6 linked regions of the Kluyveromyces lactis genome follow. The protein of the gene in region 2 interacts with the protein of the main gene of each other region in a pairwise test. Links are inferred from orthologs where the notes say so. Each region holds a gene or a part of one and is shown on either strand. Other genes may lie near its edges. The genes, in order: VAM3, SEC22, MDY2, GET3, SEC20 and SGT2.

Region 1 (3,468 bases), on a different chromosome or scaffold from region 2:
GTTTCAGGCTTAGCGCGAAGTGATTGTAAGCCATATTTATCCAATAATAGAGGTACAATTTCTTGGTGGACATCAGACGCTGTTTTACCCTCCTTAGGTAGAAAATACAGCTCTCTATTGAAACCATTGATTTGCGCCATTGCAGAGACTACTTGATTCTTTCTCGTTTTAACTTTACCAAAGAGAATCAAAGAAGAGTTGACTTCGGTAAAATCAGTCCAAAAAAAGTTAAAACTACCGGTCTCAGCGTCTACTACATCCTCTTTAGGTATTCTTTGTCTCAGTGATCCGGAAATTGATTCTGTTGCTTGTGTGGACCCTGTAGAAGTTGACAATGGGGTGTTAGGAGCAGTGACATATGTTGGCGAAGACGTTAATGGTGCTGTTTGAGCGCTGATATTCATCTGCCTTTGAGTAGCTATTGATTTGAATTTTTTTCTACCAAAGTGAATATCATCTTCGTCATCTTCACTGTCATCTTCGCTTTGATATGTCTTCTGCTTGCTCATTGAAGGAGAACTAGCCACATCGTTTAATAATGATTCAATATCGTGGTCCTCTTCCATTGAATCACAATCGATAGGATTAACGCTATCAGCTTTAAAAGGTACAACATCTTTACCTTTAAGTGGGGATGTATCTACCTGAGGGTGTTTATAGTTCATAGGCGTAGTATTTGCAGGTTGTTTTCTGGATATCGTTAGCTTCGGCTTCTTAACCAGAGGCTCTGCGTCAAATTCACTCAAAATATCATCAAATTCAGCAAGTGACACTTTCTTAGGTTTTTCTGTTGGCATTGTCATTTTTCTCTTGACATTTTGTTGCTTTATGATATCGCTGATGGTATCCTTACCTTTGTTATTCTTACTGGTCTTATTACGCTTTTTGCCTGACTTTGCATCAACACCATCGTCTTCATCAGAGTAGAACTCCTGACTTTGATCCCATTCATCTACACCACGATCCACATATCCACTGCCATCATCATCTTCAACAAAATCATCTCTTAACAACTCTTGTCTTTTCTTACTCCTATATTGATCCTCGTCAATCAAGTCATACACATTTTCTTCTTCCAGTTGTTCATCTAGCACATCCCTATTCGATTTATTATTCCTAGCTTTCTGCAATTTTTTGAGCAGTTCAAGTTTGTTCGCATTACTCATCCCGAGCTAGTGTTTTAATAGTGTAGGGTGGCAGTACGAACTACCCTAGTAATTTAGTTTTGTTGTCTTTCCTGGTTTGAGTTGCAAGAAGAAGATGATGAAGATGTTCTTACTTTTACGCGTTCTTTTTTTTTTTAAAGTTGTATCTATCTGCAAAGCACGCGTTCGAAATCTATGAACTTAATGGCACCAACGCTGAGACAAAGCGAGAGTGCATGAGAAGAAAAGCGAGCGAAAGATTGAGTGACAGTAGAATACCGACAACACTTGAGTGGTTAAACGGTGAAGCCGCTGAAGTGTTAGAGAGTGTGCGCTCCTCAATATTATGATACGAATTTCCATTAGTTGAACCAATTGGCGTTGGCTTGGAAAGAAAAATGGATCACATGACCTGTGGTTTAAGACTGTCCTCAATTTTAAAGTGCTCAAATTGAGGTTTGTGATCATTAACTGAAGGGAAGGATAACTGTTAAGGAAACAGCTGATAGCAGGACCCGTAAAGATAATCGCGTTACATCTGATGTCCTTTTATCAAAATAGTACTCCAAAAAAGGAGGACAATCGTGCAGATTCTAGTGGAAACGATGCGGTGCCTTTGTTGATAACACTAGAACAGAATATTCAATTACTCAAGCGTAAAGCTCATCTAATAGGGACAAGCAAGGACGGACAACTATTGAGGGTTGATATAAAAAATAGAGTAATCCCCGAAATCCAGAAAATTAGTCGAAAACTGGCTGACTTAACTTCGCTAGATACACAAGATAAATTTGCTCGAGATTTTCAAGCGTTAAGCAAACAATATAACAGTGTAAAGACCGATTATGAGAATAGGGCAGTACAGAATCCCATACCTGACGAAGAGAGTAAAGATAATGAATCGGAACATCTCGTATCGCAATATGAAAGCATGCCAATACAAGACGATATCGAGAGGAGGGATCATTCTTCAGAGGATACTCCGTTACTTTTGTCTACCCAACAGCAAGAGCCTTTGTTGAATCAGGATGAGTTAGATTTTCACACGATAATTCAACATGAAAGATCCCAGGACATATCAAAAATCCACTCTGCTGTGCAAGAGGTCAATGCCATCTTCAAACAACTAGGAAGTCTGGTACAGGAACAGGGCGAACAAGTTGACACAATTGGCGAAAATGTGACAGGATTATCTAATAATTTGCAAAAGGCGAACAAAGAACTTCACAAAGCAAATGAATATCAAAGGAAAAAGAACAGATGTGGTACAATACTTCTAGTAGCTATTGTTGTTATCACTCTAATAACTCTTATCGCGATTCTATCATAGGGTTAGATTCTACGAGGAATGTAACTATATATTAATACAAAATTTATCTCTGGCCTTATACTTGGATGAAAGTTACGTTACGTTTTAGAGAACACGCATCATCAGGTAAATATGTCCGACTTAGAGGTTACAACTAATTATTAATCATAGCTTACTTGTCAGTATCCTTTTTAGTGCTTTCGGAGGAGTTATTTTTGGATAGTTCATAAGACTCAACATTCTTGAGATCTCCACGTTCAATGACAAGATTTTTGAGAAGTCTGTTTTCCATTTCAAGGGTATTGATTCTTTGCTTCAAGTCACAAGCTAACTGTGAAAGATCTTGGACCCAAGTTTCCATTTCTTTCTCTTTAAGTTTTTTAGTTTGATCCAAGTTCGGCAGTTTGGGTCTTGAAGAAAGGGTTGAGGAAGTGGACGACGATTCTACACCATCACTGGAGGAATTGTTTTTATCAGAATCAGTATTATGCTTTTTTTCGTTTATCTTCTCATCGAGACTCTTAGCAGCATTTTCCTTGTCATTGAGAAGTTCTTCCGATTGTCTCACCTCTTCCTTCAATTTAGCAGACGTTACATCCTTCCTAAGAGAGGAAGCTGATTCTAGTTTCCTGACAACTGATTTTGGTGTTTTACTGATACCATCATCCAGTGTTTGCTTTGCAGAATTCTCTTCGCTTTCTTTCTTTATGTTGTTAGAAATTGAGCCGTGGTGCACTTTCGGTGAGTTTTTCATATATGTATCAATAACTCTAGACTCTTTTTCCACTGGAGTTTTTTTGGCTCTTTTTGGATTAGGTTTATGGACACTTGATTGAGGAGATGGCTCAGGTTTTTCATGCAAAAAATCCAATAGCATGCCAACGGAGCTTTGAATATGTTCTTGAGGTTCAGGAACCAGTTGATTTTGCGAATTCACATCTATCGATGAGCCCAGATGGGAAGCTGACGATGGTGGTCTATTTGTAGAGTGATTATTTAAATTAGTTGGCTTCC
Region 2 (3,068 bases):
CGTGGGAATCGTTGAACTTTTTACAGTTGTTAATAATCGCATGTCAAACTCAAGAAACTATTCTTTTCCAGAATCTAAAATCACAATACTCAACTCTTGCCAACAAATACAACTCTGAGCTACAATTCTTGGGCCAAGAATACTTCGGTATCAAGGTCGAGAAACCAATCAACTTCTTGCAAGATATGATGTCTGGTTTCTTTGGAGGTAAATAATAATAGTCTTCGGTATAAACATACTCTATGTTATATATAATGCTAACTTTTCTTGATGCTACTTCTATTCAGAGCCTCAATGAGCTCTGGCCTCTTGGCACGGGTCAAGTTTTCTTTGGCCTGTTCGTAGGAGAACCATTGACGGTTTCTTGTCTTCACTTCAGGATAATTGTCCTCCAATTTAACATTAATCATCTCGAAGAAATGGAATTCGGACCTGGGAGGCCATTTGTTAACAGTTTCGTCATTCGAACTCTCGAATGCTTCCAAATCTGGGTTCCAGTCCTTTGGAGGTCTCATATCCTCAATGGAACCAAGTGCTTTCACTATATCGCCTGTGGCACCAGCTTCTTCCCAGGTCTCTCTTCTTGCAGCGGACTCAAAGTCAGGTTCATCACTTTCAATACCACCCTTTGGCAACACCCATCTCTTCTTATGAGCGGATGACTGGACCATTAAGACATTCTCTCGGCTTTCATCCAGTATTATACATCCTGCAACGAGTCTAGCACCAGTGACACTTGAATACAACTGATTCTCACGTCCTACTCTTGAGGTGTCGGTCTTGATAAAGTCTGACATCTTCGGTTCCTTAATACTATATATATAGACTGTTTCTCAGACCGATTTCATCAACAGGGTACACAAGACACATAGCTGTGACTTACCAGCTGTGGTCAGTTTGAAGGATACATGAACGTGCGGCCACGTATGAAATACACGTTGATCGGTGGTTCAATTGTGAATCTGACAGAGACTCTTGTTTCAGGGTAATTATTAAATAATACGTGTTAGGACCGAATCATTAAGCGCAACACCACAGAAGAAACAGCTGGGAAACCGTCTCTGGCAGATACGTTCTTCCATTCTCGTAGCCCTCATATGGTTAGGGCACCATGCTAGTCAGTATGGGGTTCATACTCCCACTTTTTAGCCTTGTATTTGTCCACGTTATTCGATTTAAACTCGTCTTTTCAACATGGAATGAAATCAATCGAATCAAAACCAAGTTTCCATCACTAATGAATGAAACTTCAGCAAATTAGAAAACGTATTGCCCTGTACCAAGCACTGAACGATCTTTCAGTTTTAGCAAGTGATTTACAAGGCAATAGGCACGGGCATGATTCGTTCTACGTTGATTTTCAGAGAAGATGGGTTACCATTGTGTGCCTCAGTGGATGATGACACTGATCCCAGTTTACAAGAGCAAAAGAAGAAGGTGAAGATCCTAATATCAAGATTCACTCCGACGTCAGCAAACGAGGCTACAGTGGAAAGTGGTGATTTCGAGATCCATTATATCAGATTGAACACCGTGGTCTATATTGTGGTCGCAGAAAGGAACTATCCACGTAATTTGGCATTCTCATACTTGGCAGATATACAACAAGAATTCGAACACAGTTACGGGGGACAACTCTCGAAATCGAACGTTAGACCGTATGAGTTCGTATCCTTCGACAACTTCTTACAAAAGACCAAGAAAGTTTACAACGACAAAAGAGTACAGGGGAACATGGACCAATTGAATCAGGATCTAAAAGGTGTCAAACAAATCATGACAAAAAACATCGAAGATCTATTGTACAGAGGTGATTCCTTGGATAAGATGAGTGATATGAGTGCGTCCCTAAGACAAGACGCTAAAAAGTACAGAGCCTCCGCACAAAAGATCAACTTCGACCTATTGATTAGCCAGTACGCGCCAATTGCGATCATAGCATTCTTTTTCGTATTCTTATTGTGGTGGATGTTCTTAAGATGAAGTATTCGCTGTACAGAAGTATCGATACACTTATGTACACTTAAATATGTATATAATTCCACCCTGTATAAACTTCAGCAAAAAAATGTACAAATATTGGCTCAGTATTGCTCTGAATGTGCCCTGACTAACGTATGTCTCATCATCATCAATACGCCTTTTTGCACTTGAACGATTCTTTTCTCAACATGAAAAACCTTTAAAAAGCAGATGATCTTCCTTAAGGGAAGAGGGAAATATCATGTAAGAAAGTAAAGTAAAATAGAGTTTACAAGTCGGTATACAACACGATAGATACATTGAGGTTATTGTAGTACTCGTGAATAGACAATATGGGAGACAATGATGCAGATGCCGTTGATTTCAGAGCTTTGATCGATGAGTTTCGATTTAGCAGGGTCTTGAACTCTAATCCGCAAACCAAGCAAATTTCATTATTAGGTACGATTAAGGGTCAGGATGCTATCGTGACTCTAGAGAAGACACACTTCCAGTTTGATAAAGTGGTGAACAATCCCAATTCGTCTACGTTGTCGTTGCACCAATGTGAATCTGAATATTCTTGTATGAATTCCATTCAGACGTTGAAACCAATAGCAAATAACGACATTTATTTCTGGGGGATGTCTGTGATGAAGCAGGACTTGGAGTTAAACCCCACGGCAAAGATCAACTTGATATGGCCTGCCACACAGGTTCATATCGAGAAGTACGATAAGCAGTTGTGCCATATGGTGAGGGAAACCCCAGAGATATATAAGCGTATCGTGAAGCCTTATGTGGATGATATGGTCAATAACGGTAGGTTGCAATGGGTTCAGAACATCTTGTATAACGGAGCAGAGAGTGACAGGGTCGTGTTCAAGTACTTCGACCAAGAGAGCCCCAAAGACGGCTTTGTGGTGCTCCCTGATATGAAATGGGATGGTGTCAATATGGATGCCCTTTATTTGGTTGCTATTGTACATAGGGACGATATTAAATCGTTAAGAGACTTGAGACCCGAACATCAACAATGGTTGATCGATATGAAGAATAAGATAAGATCTGTGGTTCCTAGTTGCTACAATTACTTGGTTCCCGCT
Region 3 (3,046 bases), on a different chromosome or scaffold from region 2:
AGTTCCGAGGACCCACTAATTATAAAATCTTTAAGGAGGATCTTAAAGGCTTTCGCCATCTATAACGCTAAGATCGGTTATTGTCAATCGATGAATTTCTTAGTTGGTCTTTTACTATTATTCATGGATGAAGAACGTGCATTTTGGATGCTAGTAATAATGACATCTAGGTACTTACCAGGAGTGCATAGTATTAACCTGGAAGGTGTCAATATTAACCAAGGTGTGCTTTTACTATGCATAAAAGAGTATCTGCCACACTTTTGGCAAAGAATATATTCCAATAAAGATCAACAACACAGTCCCGGCCTATCCAATAAGAACGAATTTCTCTATAAGTTGCCACCAGTCACACTCTGTACTGCCAGTTGGTTCATGAGCTGTTTCATAGGAGTAGTACCTATTGAAGCTACCTTACGTATATGGGATTGTCTCTTCTATGAGGGTTCACACATTCTTTTCAAGATGTCGTTAGCGATCATCGAACTAAGCGAGACCAATTTACCAAAATTAAATCACGTTAGCAGCCGAAACTCAGACGATGAAGACATGGAATTATTCCAAGCTATTCAAACATACCCTAGACGGTTGATAAACCCCAACGATATTATAGACAAAGCCATCTTCAAGAGGAGATTGAGATTCAATGCACTCAATCAAGAGGAAATCGAACGATGTAAGAAGTACGTTATCTCTCAAAGAGCCAAATACAAGAACTTCCAAGATGTAATGAAGAATGAAACCACCAACTCCAATAATAAGAGAGACTCCAAATTGGCACAGGAACTGATCAATGAAACCTTTTCTAACGAAGGATACGGATTCAAGAAGGGTTTAAATGGGGTAAATTGGAATAATAACATCAAAGAAAGAGTACGTAGATTGAGCAGAAAGAGGTAATTCTCTCATCACCAATGGAAGAAAGAGCAGAAATATCTAAAAGTATAAAATCACTACATATATAACCGGGTTGTTTTGCATTATGGACCAACAAATGACATGTTCTATCTTTTACTTACTCAACTCCCAACCTTTCTGTAGCCTTCCAAGGGCCACTGAGGCCGTGCTAGCATCCAAGCTACTCTCTAAAACGGTTCTAATTTTATCCCAAGGCAAATCAATATCTGTTTGAGATGAAAGATCCAACTGTGGATCCTCCATATCGACATCCATCAACTCAAGTTCAGGTTCAGGTTCCTGCGCTGGTTTCGGCAAAGGTGCTGTTTCCACAGGTTTCTCTGCTTTGGAAACCATTGCGACAAGGGATATTTTATCCTGGTTCAAATCGGAGACCAATTGAGTGTCGTGGAGGACTTTACCCTTTAACAACAACTTGATTTGACCAGTTGTATATATCTCAGGCTCGGTTTCCACTAAGAATTCCTTGATCTGACCCACGGTATCGGTAGATTCGAAGCTTTTGGAATGAACAAATTTAGGCGCTTTGATCGATTTGATGGTAACTTCTACAACTTTAGAGATACTCTTAGAATGTGATTTACTTGGATCATATTTGTACCTCAATGGGGGCAACGAAACACCAAGGTTTGTAACTTCATGTAATGGTTTGCGGTAGTTCGATGCAAGTTTTGGCTCATTCAAAGCGGCCAAACTCAAAAATTTACCAACGAAATCAAGTTCAGACATGATTGGAGGTGGGATGTGCGATATTGTAGTAGTTTAGTTCCTTATACTCCCTTATACATCTCTTCATTAGATGTCTAACTTGTGTTAGTGTTAATCTGAACATAAATATCAATTCCGTTAAATTTATTTCAATTCCTACATAAAAGGGTAAAAACACGAACGATATCAGATCAATACGGGAAATAAGAGGTAGAAACGGCATTCTACCAGGTAACATTGCAACACAAATGGTATCACTGGTACTGGCAGATACTGCAGACAGTTCAGATCTATCTAAAGCTGCGATTACCGTTGAAGAATCAACTTCTGCACAACAACCGAAATTCTTCAATTACCATGAATTTGTGATTACAAAGTACAGAGCACTAGATGAGGAATCATGCGAAGAGCATGGACCTGAGAATCCAATCTGCATCACCCATTTTCCAAACATATACGTACCTGAAGAAAGCGATGAATTTAGAACCACTAGAGTCGTTCGAATTCCCAGAAGGTTTGAGTCATCCACAGAATTTCCTAATTTCAGCACACAGTTACCTGGGTCTGAACCAGCAGCCTTACCAGATACTCACAACAAGGAGTTCGTTCCGGCAGGAGAGTTTGAAGGCCAATGGTATGGCGAAACGTCAGTGAGCCCATTATCAAACTATTTGGATCAAGCGGAATGGACTGAAATTGTAACTCGAATCAATTCACTCTTAGAGGCTGCATACAACCCAATAACCAGAAGAAATTTTGTCAACGTCATATTGGACCTCTTGACACTGAACTTATGGAGTATCATCGAGCCATACCTGTTCGTTAACCCGTTGCAATCAGTTGAAGACTATGTCTCGGAAATCAATCGATCGGAATCGTTCAGATTGAAGGGCATAAAGATCATTCCGCCCCGAGAAAGCTCATATCTATCGGTATGTATAGATAGCCCAGCATGGATTAAACCATGCACAGCCATAAATGAACCCTTACTAACCCATTGTGACACCCTTATCGTCCTTCTTTAACCAGCTTGATGTTGTAACACCGATGCCCAATCACTGTTGACGGCGTTGAAACCTTTAAGGAAACATGCAAAGGAAACAAAGCAAAGAATGACACTTTAATAACCACCACATGACTGATTTGCTTGAAAGGATTCTGTTGATGTGGTCTAATCAACCTATAAAGGGCACGAAGCATAGCATCAGATAATAAGCTTACATACGCTTTGCTCTGTTGCATACACACAAACCTGCTGAGCGGGATATTACTTATATTTTAGAATGCCGAATGTCATGAACACGCCCAGCGTGACTGATATTAAAGATGACCCGATTACTAGTTATGTCATTAAGAACTACTACAAGAGGGCCAATAAGGGCGCCGAAATGACAGAAGAACAGAGTCGCAATGATTCTGG
Region 4 (3,717 bases), on a different chromosome or scaffold from region 2:
CTAAACGAGACAAATGAGACAAATCATAAAAAAATCATAGCTCTGTGGTAATAGTAACAAGGCTGAAACTTACTTAAAATTCCACAACTGGGCCAACACCAACTGATCTCCAATTTGTCATATCGACATTCCAGTTCTTCCACTTAGCTAACATAACAGGGTCTGTCGTTGGATGCTGAATCTGTCTCGATGGCTCGAATTTGGATGGAGAATGTCTATCAAAGGAAGAGAATTCCACAGGGGTTAGTTGTGGTGATTGTGTTGCTCTAAGCTGCTCTACTTCTTGTCTAGACGTAGATAGCTCCTGCTGAGCGGACAGCAATTGTACAGTTTTATCATTGAGTTGAGATTTCATGATGTTTATCTGTTCTTCAAGCTCTTCTATGGAGCTTTCTTGATCTATGTTGACAAACTTCAATTGCTTTACTTGATCTTTTAGCTTTGAAACTTCTTCCTTGAGGTTTATTACTTCATCTTGGCTTTTCTGTTCTTGTATCGTCGAAAGGAAATCTTTCTCTTTATCATCATTCCCGCCAAACAATTCTTCAACTTCATCTGTACTTTTTGCCTCTATTGGTTCTTCCTCTTTTTGTTGAACTGCAAAAGCTTCTTTAGACACTTCCTCGGTTGGGTTGGGTATATCAGTTGCTTCCTTCTCGAGGACTTCCTCCTCGGAGTCTTTCTTGTTCTCCGCAGACTCTTTTTCAGACTTCTCCACAGACTCCTTTTCAAACTTCTCTTCGTTGTTGTCATTGCCCTTTGCATCAGCATTTATCTCAGCCTTTTCTTCAGCTTTTGTCTCTTCCACGATTGGTTGTTCATCTGAATGAACCGGACTCTCTGATACATTAGTATCAGTCGGTTCCAATTCAGTTTCAGTTTCAGTTTTGACTTCAGCTGCTTCAAGATCTTCCTTGTCCTTCTTCTTCTTATTCTTCTTGTTTTTATTCTTCTTCTTTAACTCTTCAACCCTTATCTTGGCTTCTTCGAGCTTTCTGGCTCTTTCTTCCTCGGGGGATAGTTCAGACATAATCAACTGTTCGAATGTGTGTACTCACTTGCATTGAAGACGCCAATTGGTTTTAATATTTAGCTCGCAATTGTTTCAGATTTGGCATTCACCATGTAAATTCTTATTTCATATGGGGCAACTTTTTTTTTTGATCTAAACGTGTCGTTATGGTTCACACATATTTAATAAGAAAGGAATCACCATCATTGAGGCAAACATCGATCAAATAATATCGTTTAATTTCACAATGTTTCAAAGCCATTTAGGTTCGAAAGAGAACAAGATTCAAGACTTTTTGAGAAGCAAACTCAAAGTATTTGTACCATGTTCTTTATTATTCGGTATGCGATTGGTAAATATCAAATTATTATCACCACCGTATATAGTGACGTGTTCTTTAAAAGAACGTAGAAGAAGTCTTCAGCAAGATATTTAGCATTTGTTGTCACTTTTAGTGGCGACATGCGTAGATAAACAGAAGTTTTACAACTAAGACGCCCTCTTATTTCAACTGTAGGAATAACAATCAGTAAGTGTGTAAACCTGAGACCAAGTAAAGCGGAAAAGTACAATGGATTTAACAGTTGAACCAGATCTAAACTCTTTGATAACTTCCTCAACACACAGATGGATATTTGTCGGTGGTAAGGGTGGTGTCGGTAAGACGACGTCATCTTGTTCGATTGCCATTCAAATGGCTTTGGCACAACCAGAGAAACAATATCTATTGATTTCTACAGATCCTGCACACAATTTAAGCGACGCCTTCGGTGAGAAGTTTGGTAAAGATGCAAGAAAAGTCACTGGGATGAACAACTTGTCATGTATGGAGATTGACCCTTCTGCCGCTTTGAAGGATATGAATGATATGGCTGTTGCCAATAATGCAACTGGATCGGGAGAGTTCAGTGATCTTTTGCAAGGTGGTGCACTATCTGAATTGACAGGATCGATTCCAGGTATTGATGAGGCACTTTCTTTCATGGAAGTGATGAAACACATCAAAAACCAAGAACAGGGTGAAGGTGACAGGTATGATACCGTTATTTTTGATACCGCACCAACAGGTCACACTCTAAGGTTTTTACAGTTACCAAGCACTCTATCTAAACTCTTGGAGAAATTCGGAGAAATCACTGCAAGATTGGGACCAATGTTGAATTCTTTGGCTGGTGCCAATAACGTCGATCTTGTTGGTAAAATGAGTGAATTGAAGTCTAATGTGGAAAAAATCAAGGAACAATTCACCAATCCTGATATGACAACTTTTGTCTGTGTTTGTATCAGTGAGTTCTTGTCTTTGTACGAAACTGAAAGATTGGTACAGGAATTGATCTCATACGATATGGACGTGAACTCCATCATTGTAAACCAGTTATTATTTGCTGAGTATGACGAAGGAGACAGCTGTAAAAGGTGCCAATCCAGATGGAAGATGCAAAAGAAGTATTTGGACCAAATTGATGAATTGTACGAAGATTTCCATATCGTTAAGATGCCATTGTGTGCAGGTGAAATTAGAGGTTTAAACAACTTGAAAAAATTCTCCCAATTCTTGAGAAAACCATACGATCCAGTTGCAGACAGCAAAGTGATTTATGAATTGGAACAACAAGACTGAAAGGAAGATAAATATGAATCATTGATACCTAGCATTACACGGCCAATCTATAATTTTTTATTATTTGTACACTAAATAATTGCAGAGCAGATTCTAAATTGAATCATTGCATCGAATTAGCCTCTATAATGTAGCATTAAACATCTACTTTAGTTGCAACATGAAAACATTATTACTTCAGGCTTCGTGATAGTAAACGAAAAGATCCGAAAGCTAAAAAAATTTTGGTAAATTGAAATGCTCCAGGGGAGGTTCGAACTCTCGACCTTCAGATTATGAGACTGACGCTCTTCCGACTGAGCTACTGAAGCAAATTTCTTGGAAAACTGAATTTTTAAAGAGTTTCATGCACTTGGGATTTGATGTACCATTGAGTCGCAGGGAATTAACTTCAAATCACTTATAAAACTCGCAACTCATTTATAACTTGAGGCATATAGAGTATGTCATATCTATTTAAGTCTCGTATTCATGATATCGGCCTCTCTTTGTGCTTTTAGTAACCATCGTTCAATCAAGGTGTCATATTCTGCTTGAATGTGTGTCAACCTTTCCTGTAAAAGATTGTTTTCTATGTTGATGCTGATCAATTCGTCATTCAAACGCTCAGCATCTCGATTTTTTACACTAATAACATCATGTAGTTGCCTTATTTCCTCTTCCTTTTCCGTAAGATGTTCCCTTAGATTCTTTATGCTGTTTTTAAGTCGTAGTTGGTCTTCGTTATCTTCCTCATTATCTCCAGACAGAAGTGAGACCGTTTCGAAAAGATGCGAAAATCTCTTATCAACCAAATCCCTAACTTTCAATTTATCTAGCAACGGCAGTTCCATGTCACAAGCTCACTAAGATCTGCGTGACATGTTACGTTCTTTTAATTCCATCTCAAGCACTTGCATGAAGCTTCACATTTTTCCTATTTATGATTGATTCTCTAAAATCTAAAACAACAAAATAAAGGGAAGCCTTGTAATCACAACAAAACCAAATAAGCGAAGAATAAAAATCCTCCTTCAATAATCGTTTGGCCTTATTTTGACAAGATATTACCATAGTCTATATTAGTTCGAGGTGAACCTCCTTC
Region 5 (3,817 bases), on a different chromosome or scaffold from region 2:
TTTTTTTCTATTGCTAACCTCCATTAGAAGTAAGGTATGTCATCACTGAAATGATAAGCGAGGTCTCCCTTGGCAGTGTCGGAACAGTAAACGAGCTATTACAGGTTCATCCACTAAAAATGTTATATTTTCTGGATACTCGGCATGTCATTAACCTAAAAAAACCACAAACAGGTTTCAAGAACGCTCATATTGCAGAATAGCATATATTTTGTCACAAATAATGTAATATTATCGTCATTCTGATAGCTATGGCTAGGGATCTGTAAAAGGTCCCAGCTATGGGCGATACCGTTACATAGAAGTATAAGTCCATGCTCTGCATTTATCCAAATTCCGTAAGTTAGTTTGGCATTCACCTCATCTTTTGAAGCATAATTTAAGCAAGTTAAATGGTCCAATTTTTCAGTGAAATTATCAATCGGATCACAGCTCATGATGAAGGTGTACTCCTTATGATATCTTTGTAAAGACCTCAAAAGCTCCACTCTTGTCAGCCGCTTGGCATTTGACCAAGCAGAATATTTGAATGTAATATCATAGAATAAGTCCCGAATGTATGCCCTTGTCAATAGCCCAAGATTTTGCTGAAGATAAATCTGGGCATATTTAGGATGTCTTGGTTTTTGAGCTTCGAAATTTTCCATGATTTTAATGAACTGTTGCCGATACTCTTCACATAATCTGTTCATTTGAAAATGGTCGTAATTGGTCTTTTGTAACAGGCGAGGAAATATTGAGCACTCATAGGAGTAGTGATCCGGCCAATGAGATTCACTTGACACCAACGTTGCATCCATTGAAATATTTTCATCAGCATAAGAAAATGGTCGTATATTCAAATAATGCTGATAAAGTCGATTCTGGCGTGGTTCGAATACTTGAAATGGTTCTTTTTGATGTTCCGATCGTTGAGTTAAGGTTATATTTGGACAATTTAACAACCAAACTAGTAGACTATAATTTCTTGACTCCCTAGCAAGCCTAGTTCTCAAAGTTTTGATAAATGAGCTCGGCGGCAATATCCTTTCTGGATCAAAATTGTCCGCAATCAGATGGGATCCTTTAAATAAAGACAAATTAACATAACAAACTGTCTCCTCATTGTTACTACAGTCATAAAACTCGTCTAATTCGCTCATTTCGAATTGGTTTGGGTTTTTAAGATAGATTTCTTTATATTTTACTGATTGTTGAAATGAAGATGATAAATACTTACTGACATTTTTTCTATTTTTTTGTCTTTGACCTGAATTTTAAACTGCTAAATTCCCATATAAAGATTGAATGATGAAAAAAGCTCAACTGTAAACCTTAATTAAAGATACTTTTATAGTATTGCATTTCTACCTACATCAAGTTAAAGGTGTCATTGGAATGCGTGTTTTAAAATCAACTAACTCGCTTTAGGGTCGGTATTACAAGTGCTCCATAAATCAAGGCTAGCGCCATTGTCACGTATCCGGGTAACCAAACATATCCTTCAGTCTAAAAAAGATCAATACTTGATATTTACCAATAACAATTTCAACAATAGCAGTAACGGCAGCAGCAACAGAAAAGTTGTCGTAAAGGTTTTGAACCTGAAAAGCATCCGACATCTTTATGGTATAATCACATAGAAAATAAGAAGATAAGCAATGATGTTAGTATCTGGAGAATCATTAGAAGCTAAAAGAAATCTCTTGCACTCTTTGTTTTATGAGAGTTTATTCAGGGAAGAACAAAGTTCTAACACCAATGAAGACCTTGATGATAAGGTTGTGAGTGAATTGCTTACGTTTGAAGATATGATCCGTAGCTTTCAGCGGATAATTGAACTGAAATATGGTGTGAGAATACGATACGAGCCAAAATTCACGATAGAGAGAGAACCGAGCGGAGTCGATAAGCATGATGAACAATGGATCGAACAAGTCAATGAACTAGTGAAAAATGTTGATTTTAGGAAAGAGCTAATAGAGAAATACGAGGTTTCTTTAATTGAATCACGTATGATGCTCAAGGAAACGTTGAGCGATGCGTTGCAAAGTAAACTCATGGAACGTAGAGGCAGTACAACTTCCATTGATTCTGATTTGAACAGGTCAGAGATAGATCGTGACGGAAGCACAAACGGCATACAGCTACCGAATACAGCCACTAATATCAAGGGTAAGACGTTACAAGTAAACAAGAAAATCACGTCTAATCTACTTCGTACGAACCAAATCTTACGTAGCAGCGTGTTACAGAGCGAATTGAATATCGATGAGTTGAAACAACAGACGGATACCTTAATGTTAGTGAATGATAAGTTTGACAGGTTCAAGGCAATGTCACAGGCTTCAACAAAACTCATTAAAGCCATTAACAACAGCAGCTATCAAGAGAAACAAAAAGTGTACGCCGCAATTGCATTTTTCTGTGGTTGTATAATGTGGGTTCTATGGAGAAGAATATTCAAATATCCAGTTAAATTTACCTTCTGGCTATGTTTCAAATTCTTCAAATCGCTACTATACACTGTAGGGATAGTGAAAAGTTCTGTGTCCCCAAATCAAGCTTCTTCCAGCTCCACAGTGGTTTCTGCAATTTCCTCAGTGACAGATACTATTTTAGACCAAGCTTCCTCCTCAACAAGTCTTCTGAAGGAGGTATTGTCACAAACAGAAACAGAACTCACATCATCTCTAGATGTATCTCAAGCAATCAGCGATAGTTTCGATAAGCTAATGGACGAGTTATGAAAGGAAAACAGTAATCTAGGGAAATAGTAAGAGCCCGTTGAAAATCCAGAAGCAATTAGAGTTCCAATCACGTGATTTGTTTAATTTCGAGCCATTACATGTGCTTGTGTATTTGTGTTTTGTTTTCACATGTCGTTCTGGAGAAGAAAATATTCCATACCGTACGAAGGTGTCTAAACAAAGGGAATACCTGAAAAATTTTCGCCGAACATGCACCGTGGTATCGCCGAAAAGGGAAATCATTCTGCACATTTTCTCGAAAAGCAACAAATAACTGAGGTAAAAATCTCGCCGAAACTAAAATAGGCTTTTCGCCGATAGCGCAATTCGGTAAAAAGGCTAAACTGCCTTCGTTAGGTTAAATGCATTTAAGTTTAGTTAATAGCAATTTCATTATCTAGATTTGACGTGGTTCGTATCTCCTTCTTGTCGTGGTAAGGAAAGGCGTACAAGGAACGAACTCTTCGAGACCGACGATGTAGTTTTTCCCCCTGCGAGTTGGATAAACATCAAACATGGATACCTTTCTCTTTTCAGTATCTATGTTTCGTCTTCCGCTATTTCCTCTACAGTCTTGTTTGTGCCTGAATTTTTCTTTGTTTTTCTCTGCAAGAAAAAACCATTTAAATATAGTGCGTTCATGACAATTTTCGATTTTCTTGTCCCTTCTGAGCATCTTTTCGGTATTCTGGGAGAGAAAAATATATGATATAGAAATTCTGTAAAGTTTCAAGGATCATACAGCCAGGTCATATAGAAACACAAAGAATCACCTCTTCGAATCAGTTTCTTTATCAGGTAAAAGACCATTTTATTGTCAAAAAGGAGAAACTAAACACGGGTTTCTGTTTACGTTTTAGAGTTGGTTGATAGGTTGTTTTTTATTACAGAAATAAAAAGAACAAATTTGAAATTAAAGAGTGCTTGTTTCGGTTTCTGTTCGAGGGTTTTCTATTGAACTTTATTCTCTCTTTTCGCTGATTTCCTACTACGAGTTTTCAAAACTACGTCAAAGTTTTTTGCTTATTTTTGTTATATAAGTGCTGCATTTTTGGTGTTGTAGTTCCGTTAGCTTTTTGTTCTGATTA
Region 6 (3,604 bases), on a different chromosome or scaffold from region 2:
TATGTTTTGTGCTATCACTTTGTTTTAAGCAAATGGCACTTTATTATTCTCCAATTTTCTTTGCTTATCTATTGAGTAAATCCACATACTCTCCAGGGATCAACTTACCTAGGTTATTTGCGATCTCTGTTTCAACAGCTCTTGCATTCATTGGTTCTTTCGGTCCAATCTATATCTTTGGAGGATACAAGAACTTAGTGCAATCAATGCACAGGATTTTTCCATTTGCCAGGGGTATCTTTGAAGATAAAGTTGCGAATTTTTGGTGCGTTTCTAATATTTTCATCAAATATAGAAATCTATTCACTCAGAAGGATCTTCAATTATACTCATTACTCGCAACAGTTATTGGGCTTTTACCATCATTCATTATAACATTTTTATACCCGAAGAGACATTTACTACCATATGCTTTGGCCGCATGTTCGATGTCATTCTTCTTATTCAGCTTCCAGGTTCATGAAAAGACAATCTTATTACCTTTACTTCCTATTACACTCTTGTACACGTCAAGAGATTGGAATGTTCTATCATTGGTTTGTTGGATTAACAACGTGGCATTGTTTACACTCTGGCCATTACTGAAAAAGGACAATCTAGTATTGCAATATGGAGTCATGTTCATGTTTAGCAATTGGTTGATCGGTAACTTCAGTTTCGTCACACCACGCTTCCTCCCAAAATTTTTGACACCAGGGCCATCCATCAGTGATATAGATGTTGATTATAGACGGGCAAGTTTACTACCCAAGAGCCTAATATGGAGATTAATCATTGTTGGCTCATATATTGCAATGGGGATTATTCATTTTCTAGACTATTACGTCTCCCCGCCATCAAAATACCCTGATTTATGGGTGCTTGCCAATTGTTCCTTGGGCTTCTCATGTTTTGTGACATTTTGGATATGGAACAATTATAAATTATTCGAAATGAGAAACAGCACTTTGCAAGATTTATAGATGTTAAAATTTATAATAGCAGTAATGATACGGGGCGTACCTTGCAAGAGCAAAACCGGGATATATATTTCACTCCTCTGTTTAATCATTTAGGATTCTACTTACACTTTAATTAGTATTCATATATCGAATGTCAGTTTCGATCAAAAATAAACAAAGACAAAAAGCACCAGTATAAGACTCGTAAATGAGAAAAACAATTCTTCGTAATGAAATTCAATATAGTAAAACTCTCCATGCTGGATGCACCGTATTTGTGTAACGGCATACTCACTAAATAGGTAAAGTCTGAATATTACTTTAAAAGTATCATATGATCTGTTGTAGCTGTTATATAGAACGAAAAGTAGTAACCGTCACGAAATCTTATTCCTCGTGGCCCAATGGTCACGGCGTCTGGCTACGATGTTAGCTACTTCTGAAACCAGAAGATTCCAGGTTCGAGTCCTGGCGGGGAAGATTTTGTTTTTGATTAACTTTTTCCTTCTTTCAAGGAGCCAGCAACTCTTTGAACTTCCTTTCCATGGTTGATGGTTCCAAACTATTAGTAGCTTCTATCAAATATCACTACTTCTCAATTAAGACGGCACGAGTCAGCTTAAAAATGCTAACGATGTGAAATTGACGTGTCTCTGTGAATCTTTCGTCTTCTGTTGCCTTCTCTAACCGAAGGTTTTTCCGTACTTATCATTTTTTCGCCATTCACATTCAGGAAAAAGTTTATTATAATAGTGCTTAAATGACAAGTTGCCTGGATTTTATGTACTTTCAAAGAAGAGTTATCATTGACTCGTCCTTTGTTACTGCTTCATCTTATCGTATACAGCGGTTTGTGATCCTTATTTCATCTTAAAGCACTGTCAAAAGTTTAGAAAATCCGAATGTCCCTATCTAATAAGGAAATTGCTGCTTTGATTGTTGACTTTTTGTCATCATCGTCTTCTTCAGTAAACGAAGACTATGTTGATTCGTTGAATGTTGCCATCGACTGTATCACTGAGGCCTTCCAATTTGAAAGAGATGAGACTGATTCTTTAATCTCTGGTCCTTTTAATGGCAAGAAATTACCTGAACTATTAGCCTCAGCTCCCTCTTCTGGAGGCGTTTCTGGTGAACCAGTGAAGGTTCATATTCCAGTTGAAGATGCAGCAGCTAAGGCCAAGGCTGAAGAATTAAAGCTACAGGGTAACAAGGCCATGGCTGCTAAGAAATTTGATGAGGCTATTGAAAAATACACTGCTGCTATCGAAGTTTCTCCATCTAACGCTGTTTACTACTCGAACAGGGCTGCAGCTTATTCTTCTTTGAAGCAGTACGAACAGGCCGTTAAGGACGCCGAGCAAGCTATTGAAGTTGATCCTACATATTCTAAGGGTTTTTCTAGACTTGGATTTGCGAAGTATGCTTTGAATAAGCCTGAAGAAGCTTTAGATGCTTACAAGAAGGTCCTAGATATCGAAGGGGAAAAAGCTACTGACGTTATGAAAAGAGATTACGAAACTGCCAAGAAGAAGGTAGAAACCTCAATGAACTTAGAGAAGAGCTCTACCAGCGCTTCTTCTGAAGATGTTTCTGACAAATCTGCGACTGAAGGTCCTGGTGCAGGCGCTGGTGGCTTACCAGATCTTTCAAGCTTGTTAGGTGGTGGCGGTCTAGGCGGTGGTTTAGGAGCACTGCTAAACAACCCTCAAGTTATGCAAGCCGCTGAAAAGATGATGCAAAATCCAGGTCTAATGCAGGATATGATGTCCAATCCAGCAATGAAGCAAATGGCCAACCAATTCTCATCTGGTGGCGGCATGCCAGATTTGAGTCAAATGATGAATGACCCATCTATTAGAGACATGGCCAAAAACATGTTTGGTGGCGGCAACGGCAGCCAGCAATAACCAGTATACCCAAACTTTTGCTTGTCCTTTTTGACTGTATATATTTGATCTATATATGACTAGTTAAACATGCCCTTTCATGGTATCAATCAATTGTTGCATGATTTGTTTATTTTCCCTGATTCTTTGATCAACTATGGATTTAACGATATGATCGTGGTAAAACTGCTCTTTGAATTCGATGAATAGATTTATCCCCACTGCGATCGATTCATGTGTTGTTTTGATTTCACCGCCAATTTTCTTAAGGTTCAAAGAGCTCATTTTCAGTTGATTGGATAACTTATTCCTAAATTTAGACCTTTTACCTTCAATGTAGGTATCTATAAAATTTCTGTTTGCTGAAGAAGGAGGCGCCTTGTCATTTGGGAAATTTTTCTTCCACTCTTTCTTCAGTTCCATTAATTCACCAAAATGTTTCCACCATAAAGTTGTCTTTGCGAGAAGAGACTCAAAGTTATTAAGTAAAGTGACAACAGAGTGCTCTAGATATTCCAAGTTTCGAGTAAACTCATAATATGAAAGATCATAAGACCAAGCGCAGTTTGTATTTTCAAAACTTTTTGCTACACCTTTTTGCGACATTTGGTTCCCCAAAGATAGGAAAGAGTTTCGCATCGTTATGACATCTCTGTGTTTGATTTGTTGTACTATCGCAAGTTTCTTCAAAATAATCAAACAATTTCTCAGCTTCTGAAACTCAGCTAGGTTGTATTTCAAGAAAGTTTGAATGCCGTTTATCTCCTCCGGTTC

The links.
Region 1: the proteins of SEC22 (region 2) and VAM3 interact in a two-hybrid assay, tested with the Saccharomyces cerevisiae proteins (2 studies listed by BioGRID). The link is inferred for Kluyveromyces lactis from reciprocal best matches to the Saccharomyces cerevisiae genes SEC22 and VAM3.
Region 3: the proteins of SEC22 (region 2) and MDY2 interact in binary tests that used the Saccharomyces cerevisiae proteins (3 or more experiments, as listed by UniProt). The link is inferred for Kluyveromyces lactis from reciprocal best matches to the Saccharomyces cerevisiae genes SEC22 and MDY2.
Region 4: the proteins of SEC22 (region 2) and GET3 interact in binary tests that used the Saccharomyces cerevisiae proteins (3 or more experiments, as listed by UniProt). The link is inferred for Kluyveromyces lactis from reciprocal best matches to the Saccharomyces cerevisiae genes SEC22 and GET3.
Region 5: the proteins of SEC22 (region 2) and SEC20 interact in binary tests that used the Saccharomyces cerevisiae proteins (3 or more experiments, as listed by UniProt). The link is inferred for Kluyveromyces lactis from reciprocal best matches to the Saccharomyces cerevisiae genes SEC22 and SEC20.
Region 6: the proteins of SEC22 (region 2) and SGT2 interact in binary tests that used the Saccharomyces cerevisiae proteins (3 or more experiments, as listed by UniProt). The link is inferred for Kluyveromyces lactis from reciprocal best matches to the Saccharomyces cerevisiae genes SEC22 and SGT2.

What each region holds. Positions count from the first base shown.
Region 1 is NC_006039.1:1,128,027-1,131,494, reverse strand, and holds VAM3 (SNAP receptor VAM3), read left to right. Parts: upstream 1-1,686; coding exon 1,687-2,475; downstream 2,476-3,468. Other genes in the region: DNA-directed DNA polymerase alpha catalytic subunit POL1, read right to left, coding at 1-1,166; MET4 (Met4p), read right to left, coding at 2,627-3,468. UniProt on the Saccharomyces cerevisiae protein: Required for vacuolar assembly. Provides the t-SNARE function in a late step of the vacuolar assembly. Required for homotypic vacuole membrane fusion, autophagy and fusion of biosynthetic transport vesicles with the vacuole.
Region 2 is NC_006042.1:1,884,643-1,887,710, reverse strand, and holds SEC22 (SNAP receptor SEC22), read left to right. Parts: upstream 1-1,338; coding exon 1,339-1,983; downstream 1,984-3,068. Other genes in the region: protein GET4, read left to right, coding at 1-215; polyphosphatase DDP1, read right to left, coding at 258-797; KLLA0_F20229g (uncharacterized protein), read left to right, coding at 2,316-3,068. UniProt on the Saccharomyces cerevisiae protein: Nonessential SNARE involved in targeting and fusion of ER-derived transport vesicles with the Golgi complex as well as Golgi-derived retrograde transport vesicles with the ER.
Region 3 is NC_006037.1:674,158-677,203, forward strand, and holds MDY2 (Mdy2p), read right to left. Parts: upstream 1,648-3,046; coding exon 1,012-1,647; downstream 1-1,011. Other genes in the region: Rab GTPase-activating protein MSB3, read left to right, coding at 1-900; SHR5 (Shr5p), read left to right, coding at 1,875-2,651; TGL4 (triacylglycerol lipase), read left to right, coding at 2,910-3,046. UniProt on the Saccharomyces cerevisiae protein: Required for efficient mating. Involved in the production of alpha-factor, the KAR9 and TUB1 location to the shmoo tip and nuclear migration into pheromone-induced shmoos.
Region 4 is NC_006041.1:143,184-146,900, forward strand, and holds GET3 (guanine nucleotide exchange factor GET3), read left to right. Parts: upstream 1-1,583; coding exon 1,584-2,633; downstream 2,634-3,717. Other genes in the region: BUG1 (Bug1p), read right to left, coding at 74-1,030; ATG16 (Atg16p), read right to left, coding at 3,086-3,466. UniProt on the Saccharomyces cerevisiae protein: ATPase required for the post-translational delivery of tail-anchored (TA) proteins to the endoplasmic reticulum. Recognizes and selectively binds the transmembrane domain of TA proteins in the cytosol.
Region 5 is NC_006039.1:1,042,706-1,046,522, forward strand, and holds SEC20 (Sec20p), read left to right. Parts: upstream 1-1,640; coding exon 1,641-2,729; downstream 2,730-3,817. Other genes in the region: NDJ1 (Ndj1p), read right to left, coding at 156-1,142. UniProt on the Saccharomyces cerevisiae protein: SNARE required for targeting and fusion of Golgi-derived retrograde transport vesicles with the ER.
Region 6 is NC_006040.1:104,094-107,697, reverse strand, and holds SGT2 (Sgt2p), read left to right. Parts: upstream 1-1,843; coding exon 1,844-2,851; downstream 2,852-3,604. Other genes in the region: ALG6 (dolichyl-P-Glc:Man(9)GlcNAc(2)-PP-dolichol alpha-1,3-glucosyltransferase), read left to right, coding at 1-962; KLLA0_D01133g (uncharacterized protein), read right to left, coding at 2,915-3,604. UniProt on the Saccharomyces cerevisiae protein: Co-chaperone that binds to the molecular chaperone Hsp70 (SSA1 and SSA2). Regulates Hsp70 ATPase activity. Required for recovery from heat shock.